Coturnix japonica: one gene and its partners. The protein of the gene in region 3 purifies or fractionates together with the protein of the main gene of each other region. This does not show direct contact. Links are inferred from orthologs where the notes say so. Each region holds a gene or a part of one and is shown on either strand. Other genes may lie near its edges. The genes, in order: FKBP4, EGLN1, PTGES3, AAR2, FKBP5 and SMYD2.

Region 1 (4,273 bases), on a different chromosome or scaffold from region 3:
AGCAGTGCTGGGCTGCATGCAGCCTGTGGTTTGGATAAGCCTGACATAAATGAAACTCCCAAATAACATGGAACACTTACATTCAGAAGCACTGGAGAAGAAACCATAACCTTACTATAAAATAACTTGCAGAAAATGTGAACTTAGTGAATTTAAAGCACCAGAACTAGTTTTAGAGAAATGCTTTCATCCATCAGTGAATTAAGGGAAGTACACCTCAGAAACCTCAACTGCAAATACAGAGCCCTTTTCCAGTCCTGCGATGGAGGGGTTGGATCTTACTATGCATGCCTGTAGTGTAACTGCTCTGCTCAACTCATTTTTCTTTAAATTAGGTTTTGAAGCAAGAGATGAGTTTAATACCACAGTTTTACATTTGAAAAAGAAAATAAAAGAGGCTTGTCTCTAAGGCATGTGGGCCATAGCAATATCCTATAGTCTGCTGTGATGTGGTAAATGATGAGAAACAACTTTCTCTCTTCTAGGTTTAAAGGACAACGAAGGACTTGCTTTGCTATTTACTGCTGAGCAAGGGAAAGCAAGGATAATGGGGTAACTCTGTAGCTGAAAAAGGCTAATATAAAGGTTTTAACCTGACTGCAGGCAGCAGCTGACATTCTTAATGGCATACGCAGCAGTGTCATACAAACTGATAGCACAACATTAGACTGATGAATATCTGTACCCTCCTGTGGGCTGCCAAGGGTTGCACCACTGCTTTAAACAACATAAGTGCAATTCAAAAAAAGCTATGGCAGAGCTACGTTACTCTCTTCCCTTCTTTTATATTCAAACCTTTTTTTTAATCTCTGGCAAATCTTTAAAGGAAGGCTGCCCCAAAAGTAATGCCTTCAGTTTTTCTATGTTGACCACTAGGTCAGAGATGTTGGTGGTAGAGCAAGTGTTGAACCTTCCTGGGCAGGCTATTCCAGTGCTTGATCACTCCATACTTAGTAATCTGAGTTCAGAGTTTGTTTTTCTGCCTAACTAGAACCATCTTTGTATCCTGTAATGTCTGTCACTCTTTGTTTTTTCCAGCAAATACGATTTCTACACAGGTTCTAAGCCAGCATCTCCTGCCAGATATCTGAAAGATATAGACAAAGTCGTACCACCTACCAGCGCACAGTAAGACAAGCCACCAAAGCGATGCACTTAGGAACAAAACTAGCAGCAGGACACTATAGCAAGGCTTGGAAGAAAAAGGAAAAACCTGAAGCTCAGCAACCACAACTCCCTGCAAACCCTGGCACCCCCATCATGCAGGAAAAGCCGAGCACATCACCTGCCGATCGCTACCTCAGCTCAGCGCAGCCCAACCGCTTCTCCTCAACTTCTCCACCCTCCACATCCCTCAGTCAGCTCCATTCTCCCCGCCCCAAGGCACGACGCGCCCTTTAATCCTCCCCTACCACAGGCGGCCGCTCTGCGACAGCCCAGCCGCTTCTCTAGAAACTTCTCGGCTCCTCCCTCTCCCCCTCCCCTTCCTCCTTCTCACTGCTCTGGGGCTCGCGCTGCGGTGAAGGTAGAGAAGGAGGAGGAGGCGTGTGCGGCGTTTGTTCTCTCGTTGTTCGGAGCCGGAGCTGCGGCGCGGTACCAGCCCAACGCGGCGGCCGGTGCCGACTCCACCAGGCAGCCCTTCCCTAGAGCAGCGGTGGCCGCGACAGACGGGATGACGGCAGAAGAGATGAAAGCGGATGGGGCTCCCTTGGAGGGGACGGACATCACCCCTAAGCGGGATGAGGGCGTTCTCAAGGTACTGAGCGGCTGCCGCTGTCTACTACTCGGGTATTAGCCTGTTGTGAGGCCCTGAGGGGCGGCCTACGAGCGGGCGCTTCCTTCGGCCTCCTTCCCCGGGCACCGACACGCCGCCGGCTGGCCCCTTCCCCTCGGGTAGGGCTGTGAGCGGGCCGCTCACCGAGCGTTATGCTCGTACAGCCCTCATGGTTACTTACACATCAGCCGCAACGCTGCAGGCGGCTGTGTCGGCCTGCGCAGGCGCTGCCCGTGTACGGGGCTCCCCGTGGGAGCTGGCAATGAGAAGGAGCCCACGCTTTCCGTGAGGAAATCCCAAGGGAGAAGTGGGGGGGAAGACGAGGCGTCCCTCCCTGTGTCCCGCGTGGGTTTGGGAGAGCCAGGCTGAGCTCTCTGCTCTCTAGTTTGGGGGGGGTTGAGCAGATCAGTCCCGCCCCCAGCACGTGGTCGGACGCTGGAATTAAAGATGGTGCCTTGGCAAAAGTGTGTGTATGGCTTTTATCTATGTAGATGGTGCTGAGCAGTGCAGCGCTGTGTAGGCTGAACTAGTTATTTCTCACAGCCTGAAAATGGGGGCACTCTGTCTTAATATAAGCATGGCTTGGAGCCTGAGGTGGCACGTTTTACACTTGGGCCTGGTATAGATGTGCTTGGTGACAAGCACACCCCCAATTGCCTGCGGGTCTCTGGTACCTTGGCTACTCGAACATTGTAAAAGGCATCTTGTATCTCTCTACCATATGCAGTACCCATTCTTTGATGATGGAGAGGCAGGTGATAATAAAAATACAAAGGAGGAGGGGGATACTGGTAAAATAACTGAGGTTGTATGAACATTATAAAAATAAATAATGTGTGATTATGAGCTGATAAGGCAAAACATTGTGGAGGTCTTGAAGTCCAGCTCACATGACTCCAGAGTTTTCTTTTGTAGTAGTAGTGGTTGCAGGAATGCAGGTTACATCTGTTGAAAAGGTCTAACTGAACTGACATAAACCAATTTTGTACTACTATCATAGCACTGATTCCAGAAGATGTTGTTTTCATTGTTCACTAGCTTCGTATCAGAATAGTATCCAGAGGATTTGACCTGGTGGCAGCAGAGCTGCCTTTGTTTTCCCTGCATTTGAAATCTTATCTTTAGACAGGCTAGTTGTGACATTTCTAGATAACTGAAGTATACCTGCAAATCTGTTGTTGACTGGAGAGGGTAAGTCACACGCCTTAAGCGAATAGAATTGAAGTCCAATAGGCAAATGTAGTTTTGATCATTTTAGAGTTGCTTACTGTTTTTTTTTCAGGTTGTCAAGAGAGAAGGCACTGGTACAGAGTCTCCGATGATCGGTGATAAAGTGACTGTCCATTATACAGGATGGCTTCTTGATGGCACAAAATTTGACTCCAGTCTGGACAGGAGAGACAAGTTTTCATTTGACCTGGGGAAAGGTAATAACTTATGTTTGCTTTTGGTCAATCTTAGTAATATTGAGATGGAGTTTTCTTGCACACTTTTTCACTCACTAAGATCACTATTTTAACTTGTTTTCAGAGCTAATCGTTAATTCATATAAACAGATTAACTCAGAAGTGCTTTGAGATCTTTCTGAGTGGGCATTCTGTGTATCTGGCTCAGAATTCACAGGACCTCAGATACAATGCTCACCTCAGTGGGAGTTTACTGTGAGATACAGCAATAAAGGCAGTTAAATAGCTGCAGCATATATTTTGTTGATAGTTTTTTGTATTGCTTTTGTATCTTGTTGCCTCAAATTCAAGAAGAGTTAAGTGTAGCTGGGTACTGGGGCAAGGATGTGAAAGTACTGGGACAGAGTGCACAGGGGCAGCTATCAGCTGCAACTGAAGGAAAGAGGAAATATGCTCCCTCTATCCCTAAGCTCCCAGATCTAACTGTTGAAGTAAGTCTGTAAGTAAGTCAGATTTGAGTATGAAAATCCAAACATCCTAGTTCCTGCAAAATTTACTACTCAATCTGTGGTTATCACTAGGAGTTCTTTACCTACTGGCTTTTTATTTGGGAGATAAACTCTACGAAGTCCTGAAATTTGGGATGATAGAATTTTACCAAATGGTACAGGGCAACTTGATTGAACTGAAAGGAACCACAAGTAGGAGCACTTGAGTTGAGAGGTTTTTGTTACTTTGGCTTTAGGAGGGATACTTGTTCTACTTTCCTTCCCCTTTCTGTTATAAACCCACGCAACTTTCAGTTACCACTTACGTTGGCCTTTGCCAACTGATAAAGTGCAGAGAGACTGGGCTATTGTGGGCTGTTTTCAAAATACAAGCAGACAGTCTCTTACCCTAAGACCTTATTTTTTGAAGAGCATTGCTACTTGCTCACACTTAAGATTTTGTCAGGTGCTTTAGGCATGATCTGTGTCTAGATTACCTATGTTCTGTATGGGTGAAGAAATGAGGGGAGAATAATAATCACTGTAGAATGAAAAAAAAAAACCAGCTAAATTTGGGTGCCCAAGTAACTTTGTAAGTTGATTAC
Region 2 (4,061 bases), on a different chromosome or scaffold from region 3:
TTGGCAGAACATGGGCAGAACATTCACACTGCTCATTTTCAGTTACTAACCAAAGGACTCGTTATGCTTCTCTACCCCCAGGTCTGCACATGGCTCCTTTCTTGGGCCTCTTTGGCTTTAGGATGGATTTCTGTGCTGAGAAGATACACAAAGCAGCTGAGTGCCCTTGCCCAGCCCAGCCAACCAAAGCTTCTGCTCTGCTTGCCGGATGGGCCTCAGAGCAAATGAGCCCCACAGCCCAGGAAGGAGCTGCTGAGTGCTGCACCTTGACACTGTGTTGGGCCATACTGCACAGGATGTACAGGATACATCACATTCACTTGACATCTACTGCAAGCCAGCAAGGTTCAGGCTAAGCCGAGTGGATCGGAGCACACACGTCATCTCAGAGCTCCTGGTGTGGCTGCTGACAGCCGATGTGACCATGGTGGGGCTCTCATCCCTCCATGGCGTCACCTCCTCTCTGCCGTCCCCACAGCTCCCGCCGCTCGGCCAAACCAGCTTCCTTTTCCTGTGGGGCTTTGTCCCGCTCACGGTAGCGCCGGCCCCAGCACCTCGTGGTTTCACGGCCCCCATCATCTGCTCTCTCTTCCTTCTGCATTATTTAAACCGCCTCGCTCCGGCGGTCAGGGCCGGGTTAGATCGAACAGAAGCCACACGTTATTTACGAGGGGGACGGCGCTGCCTCCTGCTCCACCGGCTGACTTCGGGGCCTACAGTGACACAGCCCGACCCTCCGCTCGGCCACCGCGGCCGGACCCAAGGCTCGACTTTAACCACTCGTCACGCCGGTGCCGCCCGCTCCCAACGCCGGCAGCGGGGGCTCGGCCCGAGGTTCCCAGCCACGCCCCGTCAGCAGCTTCGCAGCACGTCGGACCCCGCCGGCCTCCCGCACGGCGCGGCTGGCCCGGCCCGGCCCCGCCCGCCGGCAGCTCGGCCCCGCCCGCCTGACGCGCCGCCGGCGCTGGCGGGCTGGAAGTGGCGTACGTGCAGAGCGGGCCGCGAGCGTGGCGCCTCCTCCTCGCCCCGACACGGCGCTGAGGCGCGGCGGGCAGGGCGGCGGCCGCGCCGGGCCGCGCACTCGGCAGAGCGGCCGCGCACCGCGCCAGCCGCCCGCTCGCCCCGTCTGCCTTCCGCCGCCTCCCGCGGGGCGGCGATGAAGCGGCGCTAGAGGCGCACGGAGGGCCCCCGCGGCGGCCCCGCGCCTGGCCGCGCCGAGGAGCGGGGAGGGAGGCCGCGGGCCGACGGACGCGCAGGGCGGCGGGGGCCGCGGCGAGCCGGGCGGCCATGATGCAGTGAGCGCCGCTCCCAGCGCGGCCGGGCGGGGGCCCGCGTAGCGCCGCTCCCGCCCGCCTCCTTACATAACGAGCGGCGGAGCGGGGCTGCGGCCGCACCAGCAGCGCCATGGCGAATGACAGCGGCGGCGGCGCCGGACAGGGCGGCGGCGGCAGTAGCAGCGGCGGAGGTGGCAGCGGCGGCGGCAGCAGCAGCAGCGAGCGGGACCGGCAGTACTGCGAGCTGTGCGGGAAGATGGAGAACCTGCTGCGGTGCGGGCGCTGCCGCAGCTCGTTCTACTGCAGCAAGGAGCACCAGCGGCAGGACTGGAAGAAGCACAAGCTCATCTGCCGCGGGGGAGGCGCGGCGGGCGCGGCAGGGGGCGCTGTAGAGCCTCGCGGCGCTCAGCCCCCGCCGCCCCGCGCTCACGGCTCCCGCAGCGCACGCGGCGCCTGCGGCCGCACGGAGCAGGAGGCGGCCAAGGGAGCCGCGCCGGGCCCCGAGCCCCACGGAGAGGCCGCCCCGCAGGACGACGAGCGCGTCGCGGCCGCCGGGGGCGGAGAGGCGGCGGCCACGGCCCCGGCTCCCGCCACGGAGGCGGTGTCGCTGTACCGGGACAAGTCGAACCTGTACCCGGGCGGCGTACAGGCGGGGCCCGGCGGGGCCGCCTTGCGTCCCAACGGGCAGACCAAGTCGCTGGTGCCGCAGCGGCTGGCGCTGGAGTACATCGTGCCCTGCATGAACAAGCACGGCATCTGCGTGGTAGACGACTTCCTGGGCAAAGAGCTGGGCGGGCTGGTGGCCCAAGAAGTGCGAGCCCTGCATCACACCGGCCGCTTCACCGACGGGCAGCTGGTCAGCCAGAAGAGCGACTCCTCCAAGGACATCCGCGGCGACAAGATCACCTGGGTGGAGGGCAAGGAGCCGGGCTGCCAGACCATCCGCCTGCTCATGAACAGCATGGACGATCTCATCCGCCACTGCAACGGCAAGCTGGGCAACTACCGCATCAACGGCAGGACGAAAGTGAGTGCGGGACGGGGTGGGGACGGGCCGCCGGCCGGGACCGGGACCGAGCGCACGTGGTCGCCGATGCGCTCCGGGGCGGCCGAGGGCGCAGAAGCGAGCCCCGTTGTGTCGGCCTGATTGGCGATTCTCTTCAGGTCCGCCGCATGAGATCGTACGCTCCGTGAAGGACCGCGATGAATATTCATTACCGTCTTTTCAGCCCCTTCACAATTTGCTGCCTCTGTTGAAGTATAAGGCTGGCAGTGAGATGCCGGGGGGCGCCCGGCGAGGCCGGCCCGGGCACAGAGTCGCTGTTGTTGGTGCAGCTGTGGGGCCTCAGCTGGTGGGAAGCGGGAGTGGGAGGGGGAGAGAGACAGCCCCGGGTCTGTTCGGATGCGCTGAGTTACCTCCTGCCGCAGAGCAACGTGGGGGGAACTTCTCGTTTCTTCTTTTTGTTCTGCGATGCAATCTGCGCGTACCGCCAGTTGAAGCAGTGCTCTGTGAACGCCATCACAAACGTGGTCTGGATTTCTCCTCCTGCTCTGTTGACTCGGATTTTTTCTAAGCCAAAAAGTTGTGTGCTAGTGGCACGGGCTGCCCGTGCGGGTGGTGGTGTCACAGTCACTGGAGGTATAACAGAAACGTGTGTGGGCACTAAGGGATGTGGTGGGTGGGCTGATGGTTACACAGGATGGTCTTAGTGCTCTTTTCCAGCCTTTACGATTCTGGAAAAGAGCACTTAGGTTGGATGTTAGGGGGAAGTACTTCACTAGGAGAGTGGTTAGGCCCTGGAACAGGCTGCCCAGGGAGGTTGTGGATGCCCCGTCCTTGGAGGTGTTCAAGACCAGGTTGGACGGGGCCCTGGGCAACCTGATCTAGTAAAGGTGTATGTTTGGTGGCCCTGCCAGGCAGGGGGGTTGGAACTACATGATCCTTGAGGTCCCTTCCAACCCGGGTCATTCTGTGATTCTTTAAGGTGCCTGTGCTTCAGACTCACCTGCTGCAAACATCTGGAGCCTTGAGTGCTTCCCAAGAGAAGCACTGTTTTTGTCTGCGAGCACAGTGATGTGCTGCTGGAAGTAACGTGTGCCAGGGCAATACAGCAGCAATACAGTTGTGAAGTTTGCTGAGCACCACTTGGTATTCACTTGCTACTGAAATAAATCCCTGTGTTTCCAGGGACCGAAGCAGGTGCAGGCAGCCCTTTGCTCCTCGCTGGTACAGAAATGTATTACTTTCTGTCTTCTCCTGTTCCCTTGCTTATCTCCCAAAACCAGTGCTTCTGGTGTTGCAGGAAAGCTTGGTTTCCTAAAGCTTCAGCACAAGCAGGAGGAAATCTGTCCATCACTGTTAAAAATTTACTAGTGAGTGAAGGTGTATCGCTGCAAGGGGCTGCACAAGTTGAGTGGAAGAATCAGACTTGGTTGGTTTGTCTGTGTTTGTTCATAATGTCTGCAGGGGTAGCAGACTCTCTCTTGCATCCTTGGAGGCCTGCACCTTTCCTTCACCCTTCTGCCAGAGTGAGTAGAGCCCAAGGGCAGGAGCTGCTTTGACATGTCCCATCAGAGCTACTGGGACAGAGCTACTGGCTCTGGGAGGATGGAAACACGGTGACACCTCTGGGTTATTGGGAAAGTCTTGTTTTTTGTTTCCTTCTCGTCTCTGCTTTCTCTGGATCAAGGTTTGGTCTCACTCCTGCAGGAGTTGCAGTTCATTTTGTTCTTAGCTGTAGAGATGAGTGTGCAGCAGAGATGATGCTACTACACAGCAGTTACCCC
Region 3 (4,097 bases):
GTGAAAGCACATCAGGACACATAGAATAAGGTGCTGCTCTCTGTAGCACCTTCATGCTGTGAGGTGCTCGGACTCAGCGCTGCACTCTAAAGCATTACAGCATGAGAACCCAACCAAAGACGGATTAAGTTTCCAGAACGTTCCATCAGGGTGACCCGCCGTTAAGCTTCCAGAGCAGATCTCAACTCCCACCCCATTCAGCTGCAGCTACTGAGCTCACCTGCACCGTGACCCATAGGGTGCAGCCACTGCTGTGAGCCCAAAGCAGCCCCACAACCACAACTCACAGACGCTGTTTTAAGTTCAAACCCCACCATTCTTCCTGCCTGCAAGGAGTTGGGATTGAAGCTACTGTGATTCAGCTGATAAAGGGGAGAGAGACCAAATGGGATCCACTCCACGGCTGATTCCTGAATTGCTGCTGCTTATAAAGCCAAGGGACAGAGATCCCACCAGCCAGCGTGCTGTTATCACAACAGCAGCCTCAGTGTCCCTGCTGAGCACGGTGCTGAGGCTCTTGTGAATAGCAAGAAGACTTTGCACGTGTTTGCAGTGTCAATGGAGACATCCCCAGCCTTCCCTGCGAGCTGGGCACGTTCCCTGGTTGTGCTGTTCTAACCCAGCCTCGATGCTTGTATCCAGCTTACTCCAATGCAATTCATGTTTCTAACAGCAAACTTCTAGTACCTCCCCACATGCTGAAATACACTCAGTGCAACACATTAAAACCGTGCTAGAAGTCTTATATGAACTACTCACCTTCCTTTCCATCTCTCATAGGGAAACAGAGGCCTTCCCTGGGCTGCTGGACTCACCATCTGAATAGGGCAGCTACATAGTGGCTTCTAATGGTGATTCCTATCTCATGCTGTGCTGTGGTTCACACTGCTCTGAGCAGACCCAGGTTGAGCAGTGCAGGTGGTTCCCCCTCACCCCCCGCAGACCCAGCACCCATTTCCTCCCAGCACTGAGAAGGATGTTGGGATCATTAAGCAGAGCCCAGCGCTTCCTCCTGGCTCAGCTGAGCTCATAGAATGAGAGCAGAATAAATTAATTAGACGTTACTTCAGCCTTATGCCAACATTGTCAAGCAGAGCGTTGTGTGTGTGCTTTGGTGATGGATCGCCCTCCTGTCCTAACCACATTGAGAACAGAGCAAATAAACCTTAAGTCCCACCCAACAACCAACTGCCAGGCACTGAATAGAGCCAAGCACAGCAATGGAGCCCTCCCCATATTCCCAGAGGGCTCCACCATCACCTGTAGAGTCTGGTGACCTTCTGAATACAGACACATAGAATGGCCTGGGTTAAAAAGGACCACAGTGAGCACTGAGTCCCAACCCCATTATGTGCAGGGTCACCAACCAGCTGCCCAGAGCCACATCCAGCCTGGCCTTGAATGCCTGCAGGGATGGGGCATCCACAGCCTCTTTAGGCAGCCTGTTCCAATGCATTACCACCTTCCTCCTAAAATCCAACCTAAACCTTCCCTATCTCAGTTTCAAACCATCCCCCTTGTCCAATGAGGATGGCAATGATCACAGCAGCTCTGTGCTGGGTTGAGAAGCCCCCTCACCCCTTGGTAGGCTCCGTTGGGGGGGGGGGGGATCCTCAGCCCCTGTGCCCCCATATTGAGCTCAGATCACACCAGGCACAACTTGAGGCCATCAGGATGCCCCCAAAGCTGCCCACGTGCTTTTTCTCTTCCCCATTCAACACACTGGGAGGACACATCCCATCCTGGAAAGCACATTGACAGCCCGGATGGCTGCAGGCATCATCTGCTGGACAAAGATCCTCACCCCCCATAGAGGATCACGAGAAACCCTCTTATCTCCACAGCCAGCGTGACGAGTTTTGCTCCCCATTAACTCCTTTTGCATTAACTCCTTTTGCTTTCATCTCCCAGCACCACGTGGGAGCTGCAGGCCGTGAGAACAACCCCAGGCATCGCAATGCAGCAGCGCTGAGCTCTGGGGATGATGCAGCCTTTAAGGTTACACGGAGCTCTCAGCTCTGAGACTCTTTGCTCCTTCTAAGTCCCATTCAGCAGCCCTAGAGCTCAGAGTGATGGCGGTGATGGCCACAGTGATCAACCCATTGGATCAATGAGAACCGGCGGGTCTCAAGTCACGGGGTTTGGGGCAAATAACACCGGGAAGGTGCCGCTGTTTGCATTCACTCCAATCACTGCATGGAGCTGAACCACTTAGGGCACAACACATCGGGCTCAGCGCTCAGCCCGGCCCGGGGCTCAACCGGACCCGGGGCTCGACCGGACCCGGAGCTCAGCCGGACCCGGAGCTCATCCCGTCCCGTCCCGCAGCCCCGTCCGTCCCCGCCCGGTTCCCATTCATTGCCCGCCGTCTCGCTGCTCGCTGCCCCGCACCGGGACAGGCCTCATGTCGCGGCCCATCCCGGCGCTGATCGCGTTGCTCCGCTCCAGGCCGCGGCCTGTTCCCATGTCGGTGCCCGCCCCCTCCGCCGCTCACGGTGTAGGCCCGGAGCGCCCCCCCCACACACACACAACCCCCCTCAGGGCCTCACATGGCGAGTGGCGGCGGCGGCGGCTCCAGTCGTTGGGGGGACACGGCCTAACCCGGCGGGTGGCGGCGCTGTGTCTCTCGGTGTGTGTCGGTGTGTGTCGGTGTGTCGGTGTGTGTCGGTGCGGCCCGTTGAGCTCCGGGCGCTCCGAAGGCTCCGGGCTCGGCGCGGCCTCGGTTCCCACAATGCACCGCGCGGCGGCGGCGCCCAACGTTGGTGACGCAGCAAAATACCGCCGCGCCGATTCGGCCGCTTCACTCTGCGCATGCGCGTGTCCCGCGTGTCGCCTCCGGCGCGCGGCGCTTCCCGCCCTCCCCTCATTGGCCACGCCCCCTCCTCCCTTCTAGCAGCTTCTCGGCGCGCATGCGCACTGCGCTGAGTGGGCGGAGCCAGTGGTTACCATGGAGACATGGGGGGGGGGCAGCGGCCTGTAGGCGCGCCTGAGAGAAGTTGAGGCCTCAGTCAGTGCGGCTCTATCAATTAAGTTTTATTAACTGATAGAAACAAAGTACAAATGTTAAATGTAGGTTTTCCTTTAAGTCTTCTCTGAAATAACCAAAAAAAAAAAAAAAAAAAAAAAAAAAAAAAAGAAATATAGTAATAGGTTCCCTCTCCTGCCGTTCGGCTCTACACGTCAATCTCCTGAGGAGAGAAAAAGAGGCGTCAGTAGGCCCCAAAGGCGACAGTAGGCCTCAATGGGGGCTGTAGGCCTCAATGGGGGCTGTAGGCCTCAATGGGGGCTGTAGGCCTCAATGGGGGCTGTAGGCCTCATGGCGGAGTAGCCCCCATGGCGGCAGTAGGCCCCAATGGCATCAGTAGGCCCCAATGGCATCAGTAGGCCCCAATGGCATCAGTAGGCCCCAATGGAGGCAGTAGGCCCCAATGGCGGCAGTAGGCCCCAATGGCATCAGTAGGTCTCTGCAATGGGGCAGTAGTGCGTCCAATGGCATCAATAGGCCCTCAATGGCGATTTCAGTAGGCCCCAATGGCATTCAGCAGGTCCCCAATGGCATCAGCAGGCCCCAATGAGGCAGTAGGCCCCAATGGCGGTAGGCCTCAATGGCGGTAGGCCTCAATGGCATCAGTAAGGCCCCAATGGTGGCAGTAGGCCCCCAATGGAGGCAGTAGGCCCCAATGGAGGCAGTAGGCCTCAATGGCATCAGAGGCCCACAATGGCGGCAGTAGTGCCCCGAATGGCATCAGTATGGCCCCATGGCGGCAGTAGGCCCCAATGGAGGCAGTAGGGCCCAAATGGAGGCAGTAGGCCCCAATGGCGGCAGTGCGGCCTAGTGGTAGGCCTCAAACAGCAGAGGTGGGATGTGGGATATGAGATATAGAATGTGGGATATGAAATGTGGGTTATGGGATATGGGATGTGAAATGTGGGATGTAGGCCCCCCCCCAGCACACAGCAGCTCACCATTATAGCGTTTACAATGTCGTTGCTGTTGTTCTTCAGGGCACGGACCGCCTTCGCTCTGGACACGTTGGCCTGGGACATGACCAGCTCGATGTCTTTCACCTCCACACCGGTTTCATCAACCTAAAGAA
Region 4 (4,123 bases), on a different chromosome or scaffold from region 3:
TACCCTAACTCTAACAACCCTCTGCTAAATCATATCCCTGAGCACCACATCCAAATGGCTCTTAAACACATCCAGGGATGGAGATTCATCCACCTCCCTGGGGAGCCTATTCCAGTATTGCTGATCTATCAGCAGTTGCAGTGACTGGGAGTGACTTACAGGTTTGCCCTTGCCTGTCTCAGCACCAGCAGTGTATTTCTGCTGTTTGGACTGACCATAAATCCCATACAAACAACAACCTGATTTCAGGAAACCTTCACGTTTGCATAAAGCAGGCAGGAGCAGAAAGGCTTCTTATATGTTATCCATACCTTCAGCTCAGTAAGATTTAGCTGCAACTTCCCTGCAGGCTGAGCACACCATCCAAGCTGATCAGAAACCACCACCACTCTTTTACACCAAGCCACGTGTTTTTAAACGAATGGTATTTGGAGGGGAAAAAAACTGATCAACAAACAGACACCACTTTGCACTCGCTCAGCCCCTCTCGGAGATGTTCAGCTTCACACAGCTGAAAGCCCAGATCACTTTTAAAACAAACATGCTGGTTCCACCCAGTCACGTCAGTTGTCCCACTCCAGAACTCCAAACCTGCACCAATGGACCAGATCACGGTCAGTGCTATCTTCAAGGAAAACACAATAGAGAAGACTCAGGCCTCACTCTGTGCTGCAGCTGTCAACAGCCTCTCCCCTCAATACCTCACTTTGCTGGCACGTGCGTGCGGACCAACTCCAGTCCACGGTGCTTTAAATGCTTGATCTGCTGAAGGCAATAAATGCTCGATGTGCATTGGTAGATCAAGCTCATAGATGACAAGAGAGGTCATTTCTGTGTGAGCAACGCCAGGAAAAAGTAAAAGGAAATGTCAGTGTGCCCTCACGGAGGACACAGGCTCCCTATCTCTGGCAGACTCAACAGCAGCTTACTTCCTCTTGAAGCTTCTCTCTGTATCTGTTTCAATGCCCTGCATGCCCTGCATTCTGACTCCCATGGATCAAGAGAACGCACAGCCGTACCTGCAAGGTGCTGGTCAGAAAGTTGTCCTGGGAGACGATGTCCACAAAGAAATCAGACGGGATTTCATTCAACTGGTGGTACAGGACAAAGATGAGATTGGCATAAAGGTCCTGATACTTTGCAATGGCAGCTTCAGAACGGCACAGGATGTTTAACAGTCTTTTCCAGTGCTCAAATGCATCGTATACATTCCCAATCAGGAAGCAGATAAAAGCAAACTGCAACTCAGCTGCAGGTATTCAGAAAACAAAACAAAACAGGTAAACCGAGGTATAACCAAGGCACACATCCTCTAAAAAGCTCTGCAGATGACTGCATAAACTGTAGGTTTAGCTTGGGCATATAAACAACCTTCAGCCCTCTAAGTGACTCTGCAAATGGCGATCAATACTGCCAACACCGATTATTTCCTAATGCTCTGCTCTTCTCCCATCTGGAGAGAAAGCACAGTGTAACCGGGCAGGGCTCCTAATTGTGGCTGCCAGCTCTGCAGGGCGGTGCTGCTGGCACTGAGTGAGGAGCTACAGGAGCACCTGCAACACTCACAGGTGCACAGACCTGCACACAGCCACTGCCGGCGCCCTGCAGGCGTTCACCTCCTCCTGTACCACGGCTTGCAGGCGCTGCCCCCAGACGCAGGGATGAGAACAACGGAGGTTGTGAGCAACGAGTGTTTGTCTCTTTTTCAGAGCCAGGACTCAGCCTCGCCAGGCGCTTCTCACCAGCCAGAACCGGTGGCTCTGAAGATTGTTACCTGCACCCGATGCGATCACCTTCGCCTCCCCTCCAATCGCCCGCAGGAATTCTGATAACGAATGACTCGTGTAACACGACAGACCACGTGAAAAACAAACGCTCACAACTCAGCCCAGCCGGGCTCCCGGCCCCTCCACATTCAGCACCCGCCCCCCGGCACGGCCACGGCCGGAGCTCCGCCCGGGGCTGTCCCCGCCGCGCACTCACCGAGCAGGTCCTGCGGCCGCCCGGCGTAGCGCCGCGCGATGACGTTTTCCAGCGCGTAGCTGAGGTCCATGCAGTGCCTGGTGATCTCCTCCGGGCTGGCTCCCTCGGGGTACGTCCGCCGCGGCAGCTCGGTGAAGCGGATCTCGGTTCCGGCTCTGGGCCGCATCTCGGGCAGCCTGGCCACGCCCTCGGCGTAACTCCCGCACCCCGCGTCGTACGGCGGCAGCTTCTGCCCCGCGCGGTCCCGGCCGAGCCGCCCCTCCCGCACCGGCAGCACCTCGGAGAAGGCGCAGATCCGCCCGCTCTCCGGCCGCAGCCGCTCCACCGCCGCCTCGCCCACGAAGCTGCTGAGGGCGATCCACTTCTTCACGGTGTCGTACGGGTACGGCCCGAGGAACGCGTCCATGTCCCGCAGGTCCCTCCCGAGCGCCTCCTCCTCTCCCGGCGCGTCCCGCAGCTCCTCGCTGCCCGGCTCCCAGCGCAGGGCGCGCACCTGCCGGGGCCGCAGGCAGAGGAACAGCCCGGCCCGCGGTCCCGTCTCAGTGCCGCCGGCGGACCGGGCCGCGCTGCAGTGCACGAAGTGCACCCCGGGCGGAACCATCTTGACGCCGCGGAAGCGGGGCCCCACGGTCCAGCTGCTGTAGTCGATGCCGAACTCGGTGCCCTCGGGGACGCCCAGGACGATCACGGCGGCACCCTCGAAGAAGAGCCGCTTGGCCAGCTCCGGGTCGGCCCGCAGCCCCGCCATCATCGCGGCGGGCGGACAGGGCCGGAAACGCGCGGTCCTTCCTCCGCTCTGCGCCCGGGCCGCCCCATGCGCCGCGCACGAACGTTCCGGGCCGCAACTCGTTCCGCCTCCGCGCGGTCCCGGAGGCCGGGGAGCCCCGCTGCGCTGCGGCCGCTCGACGTGACGCCCCGACAGCCGAACCTCTGCTTCCGTCCGGTCTCCACACAGAAGCGGTCGCCCTCCGCCCCCATTAACCAACGGGTAATCCTTCACGATTAACAGTAACACGAAAGAGTAACCCTCAACCGCAACCCAAAGGGGGACCTTAGCCATGAACCAAAAGTGTAACCTTTAACGATAGCCCATATACTTAGCCTTAACACAAAAGGGTAACTGGTAGCCCAAACTGGTAACCCCAAGCCGTTCACTGTAACCCCAAATGAGTGAGCCTTCATCCTAACACAAAAGGAGAAACCTGAATGCTTAACGCTAACACAAAAGGGTAACCGTATCCATAGCCCAAAATATTAACCCGTACTCCTCAATTCTAACCAAAAAGGGTAACTCAACCCATCTCCCAAAAGGGTAACCCTTAGCCCTTAATACTAACCCTAAGCTGTAGCCCTCAAACATATCCCAAAAGGTAACACTTAATACCCAACCCTAACCAACAATGGTGACCCGCTTAACGCTGACACTAAATGGCAACCTCCAACCCCAAAGGGTGACCCTACAGCCCACGGCAGGACAGCCATGCAGCATCACCACCAACCACCACGTACAATACCTATGGGGGACAGCCCGCTATGCAGCCCCTGCATGGAGCCCCTGTCCCCATCTGCGCATCCTCTTTGGTGGGAAGGAGTCTGAAAAGGCCGCAGAGCTGGTTTAGCCTCAAACACATTTATTTCACTTTTATTGAATACAAGAACAGTGAGCACACACGCGTACACCACCGAGCACTGAAAAGGAGCATGACTGGAGGGGGGAGAAGAAGAATAAGGGAAAAGGGGAGTTAGTGAAGGAACAGCAGAGCACTGCAGTTGGTTGGTAAGGTGCTTTTCAAATATAAACATTATTGTTATTGTTACTGTTACTATCACTCATGCAATTGCAGGCCAGGTTTGGAATAAATCTGTGGGATCGGGTAAAAACAGGCACTCATGTCTCCCGCCCCTTGCAGCAGAAAGGCCCCTGGAAGAAAACACACCATGCTGAGCTGCCCCAGCCTGGCAGGTTGGTTTCATCCTATTTGTTTGTTGGTGCTTTTATTTATTGTCGTTTTCTAATTGAAATGCTGTCGCCCATTAAACAAGCTGTAAAAACCACAGAATGGGGTCCGCTCACTCCAAATATAACTCGTCTGAATCCACGCTCAGGTCAGCTCTAACTGTATAAGGCCACTAGTTTGAG
Region 5 (3,500 bases), on a different chromosome or scaffold from region 3:
TTCAGCCTAAAGCACAAGCAGCCCACCAACCTCATGGCTCCTTGCTGTCTCTGTGCTTTCTGCGCCCACCATCCCTGGCCCTGCGGATCCCTGGGTCACCTGTCAGCAGCAGGACAAGCTGATCCCACAAGCCCTCCTCAACAACAGGATGCCCAGAAGAACACGAGCTCCCAGCCCTCGCTTCAAGAGAAGCAGAAGAGTTTTCCTTCCATTCTAATTGCACACTAGAGATGGGGAAATCTCTGCTCCGGTTTCCAGGAGCATTTCAGCGCTATCTGAAGCAGGTCAGCTGGCTGCGGTTGCTCTTGGATTACAGAAAGCAAAGCCCCTGCCGGGCTCTGCACATCCCTTCGGCTGCAGTGGCTGACTTATTGTTCTCCCGGTGCCTGCAGCGATTTTGTTTTTGAAGAGCTCAGAACACAGTGTACCGAGTGCGGCTGGCACATGAACTTGATGTGCTGACAGCAATTTGTACTCAGATTAAAATGGAGAGGAGGGGGAGGGGGTGGGGAAAGGTTGTAACAAAAGCTGGAATGTGGGATTTTGACTGCAGCCCGTGTTTTAGGAACCGGAACTGCAAATTACGGCCTGTAAAACTCAAAGCTATAGAACTGCTTATGAAACTCCAGACTGGAGGTGCTCACCCTGGCTAGTGCACATGTTTCCCCAGCAGGCTTCTAACAGAGGTTTTGGGCACCTGGGAGCTATCCCTGATGCAGGGTTTGTTGGGGAGTGGAGTGAAAGACACAGAGGTGCCTGTGCACCCCCATAAACTAAGGCCGCTCCATGGGGTCCCATCTCTGCTGCTGGGCTCCCCTGCAAACAAGCCCCAAGCAAAGCACTCCAAGGTAAACAGCAGTGCATTTGGAAAATAAAAAGCCTCTCTGCACCCAAAACCTGCAAGGCTGCCAGGCTGGCTCACTGCTGCTTTGCATCTTTTCTCATTGGGATGTATTTATGGTCTCTGGCCCCAGGCTGCAGGTTGGTGCGAAGAACCTGCAGCCACCTTGGCGCAGTGCTCCTGCTCTGAGCAGCGCTGTTATGCAGCGCTGCCTCCAAGGGCATTCATCTCTATTACCCTGACTGTTTGTCTGCTCCTGTTCTCCGTGTTTGCTTGGAACCGAGCATCTACTTGAAACAGGAACAAGTCAGCTTCAAGGTGCAGAGCACCCAGAAACACAGCTCCACAGAGAGCTCCGGTTGCTGTGTCCTTTCAGAGCAGCAGATGCTCACAGTATTTTCCCCAGCCTATCTCCATCCTGCTCTGAGCAACCACGCTGTCACTGCATCTGAGCAAAGGGGAAAGCATGGCTCTGCCCTGCTCCCCAGGCACATGGGCTCACCCCTCAACCCCATTTTGAATGAAATAAAAAACAGCGTTAAAGAGGCAGGAGGGAATGGGATTGGTTGTCATTCTGTTCAGCTTGTTTCTCAGGTTAACCTCAGAGACAGGGAAGGCAGCCTGAAATCCTACCCCCAGCAGTGTCTAGCCATGTGACAGGCAGATAGATCAGCAGGAGACAACATCTCCTTAAAAAAGTCTGTGAGAGGAACAGACAGTGAGTTTTATGAGTTCAGATCTAATTTCACCTTCGCTAATGGAAGTTAATTGGACTCTCTTGAACGAACAGGAGCTCTGGAATGGGGATAAGAAACTAGATGCCTTATGCAGATGGCATGTTAGCTCTACTTCTATGGCTGAGTTGTTCTCAGGAGGAGAAAAAAAAGCTTGGCTGTCCCCGCCTTGGTAAGACATTTGCTCCATAAACATGACCAGAATCACTCTGTCCCACTCACAGACAGGGAGCGAGGAGCTGGATAGGATGAGCTGCCATGCACTTAAGATCACACTGACTCCACAGACCCCTTTTGAGTTAATTCATCCCCCAACAGCTGCAACCAGAAGTTTGAAGCTTTCCTCCGGTCATGTGGGAAGGAAAAGGGCCCGTGCTGCAGCAGATGCAATGGAAACCACCAAAACAGCAATAAGCACCACAACAAGGAGACCAGAGGGGCTGCTGCCTCCTCGTCTGGACAAAAAGATGCGTCCCAAGCACCCAGCAAGCTGCACACCAAGTGAAAACCTCAGCAAATCCAGCGCTACAGGCTGAAATCCAAATCACAGCAAATCCAACTTTCAGCATCCACCACACCAGTCCTGGATATAACAACATCCTGGAGCCACTCAGAGACAAGGGAGGGGCAAACAGAGAGGAAAGGGCTGACCCCAAGACCCCACAGGGACTGCAGAAACGGAGTGCAGGCTGTCCTTGAGCAGTCGCTCCATCCCCAGCTGGCTGCTCCTACAGCTCAAGGTTTTCCAGTAAAACCCTCCGAGCCAGCAGTTCTGGAACAGCCATCACACACTGTGCCAAGGGCAGCTCCCAACCCAGTACTCACTTTCCACTGTAGCACCTTCGTTGGGGTTGGAATAGCCTTCTCCTTTCCTCTTGATTCTCCGGATGATCCCTCCATCTTCAAACAGGTCCTCGCCTTTGAAATCAAGCAGCTCAATCTAATGGATTAAAGGGAAGGTTGGCAGAACTGTGGGTGGAGAGGAAGGAGAAGAGAAAAACAACAGAAAATCCACAAAGCAACAGTTCATCCCCAAGCCAGAGAGCCAAGCAAACTAATTCTGTGCTCAGCTGACAAGCAGAAGTCGCCCATAAAAGCCAGCTCCAAGCCACAGCATAATACACCCAATTTATTAGAAATTGGGCCACATCCAGTACCTGAAGTGCAGCACAAAGTAAGAGTAAAACCAAGTTTATTAATCCTGCAGGGCAGAGCGCAACTGTGGCTGAGAGGCGCACGGGGAGCACAGGAGCAGATTTTTAACCCCTGGAAGTGTTCCTGAGCTGCTTCCCCACTCGCGTGCCTTCGCACAGCCAGGCTCTCCCCACAGGGCTGCTCCCCACCGCAGACTCTCGGCTCAGACACACATTGCTGAAAAAACACTGGCATTGGTTCCTGGAGCAGAGGGACACGTTTCAGGAATGTAAGCTGAATATTTTTTTGTTTGGTTGGTTTGTTTCTTTTTTCCTCTTTCTCAGAGCTGACTGGCAAGGCGGAAAGCACTGAGATCTCCCATCCCTGTACTTACCTCAAAGAAGAGGGTGGCATTGGAGGGGATTTTAGGGGCACTGCCAGCAGCCCCGTAGGCATACTCTGGTTTGCACAGCAAGTAGCAGACCTCACCCTTCTTCATGGTAGCAACCCCAACATCCCACGCCTTAATCACTTGGCCTGAGAGAGAGGCAGGCATCAAGAAAAAACTCAAAACAGAAAAACTGCATAAGAGGGGGACCCCAAAAAGCTGTTCATTAGTGCCATGAGGACACGGGAGTCCCCTGTCCCCTTACCCTTGCCCAGGCTGAAGACAAAGGGCTCATTGCGGTCACGGCTGGAGTCAAACTTCTTGCCATTGGCCAGCTTGCCCTTGTAGTGCACATAAACCTTGTCTCCAATCATAGGGGACTCATCCTCATTCCCAGGTCTCT
Region 6 (3,500 bases), on a different chromosome or scaffold from region 3:
CTCAGGACACAACATCTAAGGGATTACACCTCAAAATGCTAATCAAGAGAATGAAGGCTTGAAAAAAGCACCACAAAGAGTGTCCAACAAAGCAGACCACTGCAAACATCATGTGTAACAATGACAGGGCAAGGAGATCTCATTTGGCTATTGCCAACAACAGGCTGAAGTGGAACTATGCATGCAAAGAACAACGCAGGGATGAGCAGCAACAAACCCAGCCAGGCTGAGGCACTGCAGAGCTTTGAAGGAGCATGTGTTACTGAGATCTGGCACAATGAGGATGTTATCTGGTCAAAGGCTGCATGTATGAGCTACAGCTGAAGCAGATACGAAGAACACAGGGAGTGAGATAGACTGGAACCTCATATAGATATAGGAGGAGACTGAAAAAGAACAGAATGTGTGAGGAAGCATAATTTAATCATATTATTATTATATTATTATATAATATTAATAATAATAATTTAATCAGAGAATAAAAAGCTTATTCATATGTCTTTCTTATAGGTTCAAAGGTTTTAAAACCTTTTCCTGTTTTATTCTCACTAAGCTCAAAAGAATGTTTCCAGACTTTCAACTCTGTCTGACTTAAGTGACCTAGATGTACCTCAAATGAGTATTTTATTCCGTTTTTACTGCAAGTCACCTACATGCCAGCCCAGAGAACCCCAGCCACACGCACCAGCCACTCCCCCTAAAATCCTTAAAATCCTCACATAAGTGCCAGAAAAACACTAGAAGAACTACTGTCACATAATGAAGTCCAGCTGAAGCTATAATGGCCACAAGAGCACTCAATCAAGTACAGCACAAGTACGTGCTCTGGAAGGCAGGAGGCGACAACAAACACTACTAACTGTAATGCCTCACAGGCTGGAATGCAGTTTGGATGAGATTTTAAAAATGCAGAAATGGTTTCCAAAGCCACCCCTCAGTTATGAATTGTTCATGATGAGTTCACAGCTAAGTGTCCTGCATCTCTGATTCAATTACCAGTATTTTTGGTACCTTTACTTGTTCTTTATTTCTCTGTTTTAGCAAGTTAGCATCCAAAGGCTCCCTGTCTCTCAAGATGAGCACTAGCCAACATATGAGCATACCTGAACCAAAACCAAAATGTAATTGCTGAATACAAAAACAATAGAAGAGAAAAATTACATCAACAGCAAATAAGAACATAAGGCTACGAAGGCTGACACAGAGAACAGCTTGATGGATCTGAATCACAGGAAAATATTTAAAAATATGTAGTGAGTTATACTAATCCAGAGACAGCCCACTTCTTGAATGCATCATACCACAAATGACACACGAGGAGCAAACAGAAGAGATGAGATAGCACTGTTTTCCCCAGAGGAATGCATGACTAAAAAAGGAAGCATGGAGGGAATAAAGAAACCTGAGCAAGAAAAGGAGACACCAAGGTTGTTCCCAATGGTGGAACAGAGATGGTGCAAAGTAAGGCACAGGAAAGGATGGGACACCAGAACTTGAAAGAAAAACTGAAGAGAAGCCAAAGAGTACGATGAGATGAGACTGAGGAGGTTGAGTGATAGTATCTAGAGTTATATTCCAGAGGGACAAAAGACCATAGAATGATACCAACAGCTGGGGATGAGAGTGTCAGAGGACTAGGATACTCTGGAGAAAAATCTTTGCTCTGCTCTGAAAGATAATTATGCCTTATCTGTGTTGGTAAGGAGCAACACCAGACCAAGACCCAAAAAGCACTGAGCAAGGAGTCAGAGGTATCCTACCGCCAAACTGCTGCCCTGAGCTATGGGAAGAAAGAATAAATAGAGAAGCAAATTAAAAATACAAGGCCAGAGAAATGATTGAAGCAAAACAAAGGGACGGCACCACATCCATGCTACTGCTTTTAGCTCAGGTTAACTAATGATTAGAAAATGTGTTTGTATGTATCAAGTATAGACCAACCTCCACTTTTTCCAGAAAGATGCATAATGGAGTCAAAACTTCAAAAAGTTGTATCCTGTAGAACACCTTTCTGGAACTTCCAGATAATCTTTGGAAATTTCAGTTCAAAAAACGTCAATGTCCAGTTGGAGATAATTGTCTTATAACCAAGATGAACTCATATGACAACTAAAGGTGACATTTGGCACCCAGAGGGAAGACTGGAGAGAATACCAATTCTAGGAGTCACCTGAAGTACCAGGATATGGTGGTCCAGAATAGGATGTGAAAAAATCTCATTTTATATATAATAACTCAATCTTTGGAGGATTCTACCTGCATTCCAGTATAGAAACAATGCAAGAAACTGGATGTACAGATTTATTTACAGTATCCCTTCAACAAACATAAATTATCAAGTCTTTAAAATGGAAAAATCTTTTACTGAGGGGAAAATGTATAGTTTGGAACAACTGAATGAAGAACAGATGCCAAATACGCTTAAGAATCATTCCTCTACAACATAACAGTGCCTGTATTAAGGCAATAGTAACAGTGTCTCCTTACTGATACATAACTGGCTATATGAAGAGGGTGGTGCCATTTCAGCTTTCACTGCAGCAGACAACATTTACCCATAGATCAAAATTAAACTTTTTACTCAGGAGTCTTAAAGTAGCTTCTTTTGAAGTACAGGGAAAAAAGGAAGAAAAAAAAAAAAGATAAGGATTCTTCCAGCATTCCATTTCTGCATTATTTCACCCACTACAACATATTTGATGTGCATGAAAATCAGGTGAGAGAAGAGAGGTGACATACCTAACAAGACATCCTGCCTTGCCTTCATCTCTCCAGATGACAAAACTAATTGATTGTGTTTAAAAGCCATAGGTCAGATAAAATTTCAGGTTGCTCTTTCCTATTCTCTGCTGGTGAGATCCTTTAAAGGCAAGTAGGTTTCTGCCTGTGTCCACCAACAGCTGCACTATGCTTGGCCCAAAGCCTAACTTGGATAGGGTCTATTAAAGGCTATTTCCTATTTTCTTCAGTGTTTGAGAAGCACCTCATGAAAAACCTGAAGATAAGAATCTCTCCCTCACTACTGAAATGGAGCATGCCCAGCCACTTTCGGCCAAGGAAGTGCATCTTTGCCATCAAGCACACTCAGTTCTCCCCAAGCAAAGAGCTATCACTTCCATCACCAGGAAGATTTTGCCCCTTTCACAAAGGCTGAATTCCTCCTACAGCACCATCCACCTAAGCAGACTAGATTCTAGCCAACTTACTTGTGCAAAGAGAACTACAAGAGCAGCATTGTCAGGGTACTCCAAGTGCTTTGAATAAAAGTGATGAAGAGCAGCAATGTCGTTCTGAATCAGCTCTCTCTTTTCATTGTCTAGTTTGTCAAGGTCTGTGGACAAAGAATACATTCCATTTCAGTAACAGGAACACTCCCCACTGAACTTCAGTTAGGTTTAAGTTAAACAAGCCTGGACTTAAACAGAAAACCCTCATGGAGCAGTTACTTGGAAGTAGCACAAGAAGCGTTTGTTCTTCCATAAAGCTTCTTCTGCCAAGGC

What was found.
Region 1: the proteins of PTGES3 (region 3) and FKBP4 purify together in Homo sapiens (affinity purification with mass spectrometry; 3 studies listed by BioGRID and IntAct, with this or other methods). This does not show direct contact. The link is inferred for Coturnix japonica from reciprocal best matches to the Homo sapiens genes PTGES3 and FKBP4.
Region 2: the proteins of PTGES3 (region 3) and EGLN1 purify together in Homo sapiens (affinity purification with mass spectrometry; 5 studies listed by BioGRID and IntAct, with this or other methods). This does not show direct contact. The link is inferred for Coturnix japonica from reciprocal best matches to the Homo sapiens genes PTGES3 and EGLN1.
Region 4: the proteins of PTGES3 (region 3) and AAR2 purify together in Homo sapiens (affinity purification with mass spectrometry; 3 studies listed by BioGRID and IntAct, with this or other methods). This does not show direct contact. The link is inferred for Coturnix japonica from reciprocal best matches to the Homo sapiens genes PTGES3 and AAR2.
Region 5: the proteins of PTGES3 (region 3) and FKBP5 purify together in Homo sapiens (affinity purification with mass spectrometry; 4 studies listed by BioGRID and IntAct, with this or other methods). This does not show direct contact. The link is inferred for Coturnix japonica from reciprocal best matches to the Homo sapiens genes PTGES3 and FKBP5.
Region 6: the proteins of PTGES3 (region 3) and SMYD2 purify together in Homo sapiens (affinity purification with mass spectrometry; 3 studies listed by BioGRID and IntAct, with this or other methods). This does not show direct contact. The link is inferred for Coturnix japonica from reciprocal best matches to the Homo sapiens genes PTGES3 and SMYD2.

Annotation. Positions count from the first base shown.
Region 1 is NC_029516.1:68,427,819-68,432,091, reverse strand, and holds the start of FKBP4 (peptidyl-prolyl cis-trans isomerase FKBP4), read left to right. Parts: upstream 1-1,473; 5' UTR 1,474-1,672; coding exon 1,673-1,756; intron 1,757-3,056; coding exon 3,057-3,201; intron 3,202-4,273. UniProt on the Homo sapiens protein: Immunophilin protein with PPIase and co-chaperone activities. Component of steroid receptors heterocomplexes through interaction with heat-shock protein 90 (HSP90).
Region 2 is NC_029518.1:35,717,602-35,721,662, forward strand, and holds the start of EGLN1 (egl nine homolog 1), read left to right. Parts: upstream 1-1,261; 5' UTR 1,262-1,404; coding exon 1,405-2,301; intron 2,302-4,061. UniProt on the Homo sapiens protein: Cellular oxygen sensor that catalyzes, under normoxic conditions, the post-translational formation of 4-hydroxyproline in hypoxia-inducible factor (HIF) alpha proteins.
Region 3 is NC_029544.1:1,699,920-1,704,016, reverse strand, and holds the start of PTGES3 (prostaglandin E synthase 3), read right to left. Parts: upstream 2,801-4,097; 5' UTR 2,552-2,800; coding exon 2,550-2,551; intron 1-2,549. Other genes in the region: NACA (nascent polypeptide-associated complex subunit alpha), read right to left, coding at 3,706-4,089. UniProt on the Homo sapiens protein: Cytosolic prostaglandin synthase that catalyzes the oxidoreduction of prostaglandin endoperoxide H2 (PGH2) to prostaglandin E2 (PGE2).
Region 4 is NC_029535.1:174,073-178,195, reverse strand, and holds the start of AAR2 (protein AAR2 homolog), read right to left. Parts: upstream 2,801-4,123; 5' UTR 2,735-2,800; coding exon 1,984-2,734; intron 1,250-1,983; coding exon 1,020-1,249; intron 1-1,019. UniProt on the Homo sapiens protein: Component of the U5 snRNP complex that is required for spliceosome assembly and for pre-mRNA splicing.
Region 5 is NC_029541.1:456,248-459,747, forward strand, and holds part of FKBP5 (peptidyl-prolyl cis-trans isomerase FKBP5), read right to left. Parts: coding exon 3,363-3,500; intron 3,247-3,362; coding exon 3,104-3,246; intron 2,516-3,103; coding exon 2,401-2,515; intron 1-2,400. UniProt on the Homo sapiens protein: Immunophilin protein with PPIase and co-chaperone activities. Component of unligated steroid receptors heterocomplexes through interaction with heat-shock protein 90 (HSP90).
Region 6 is NC_029518.1:18,626,815-18,630,314, forward strand, and holds part of SMYD2 (N-lysine methyltransferase SMYD2), read right to left. Parts: intron 3,332-3,500; coding exon 3,207-3,331; intron 1-3,206. UniProt on the Homo sapiens protein: Protein-lysine N-methyltransferase that methylates both histones and non-histone proteins, including p53/TP53 and RB1. Specifically trimethylates histone H3 'Lys-4' (H3K4me3) in vivo. The activity requires interaction with HSP90alpha.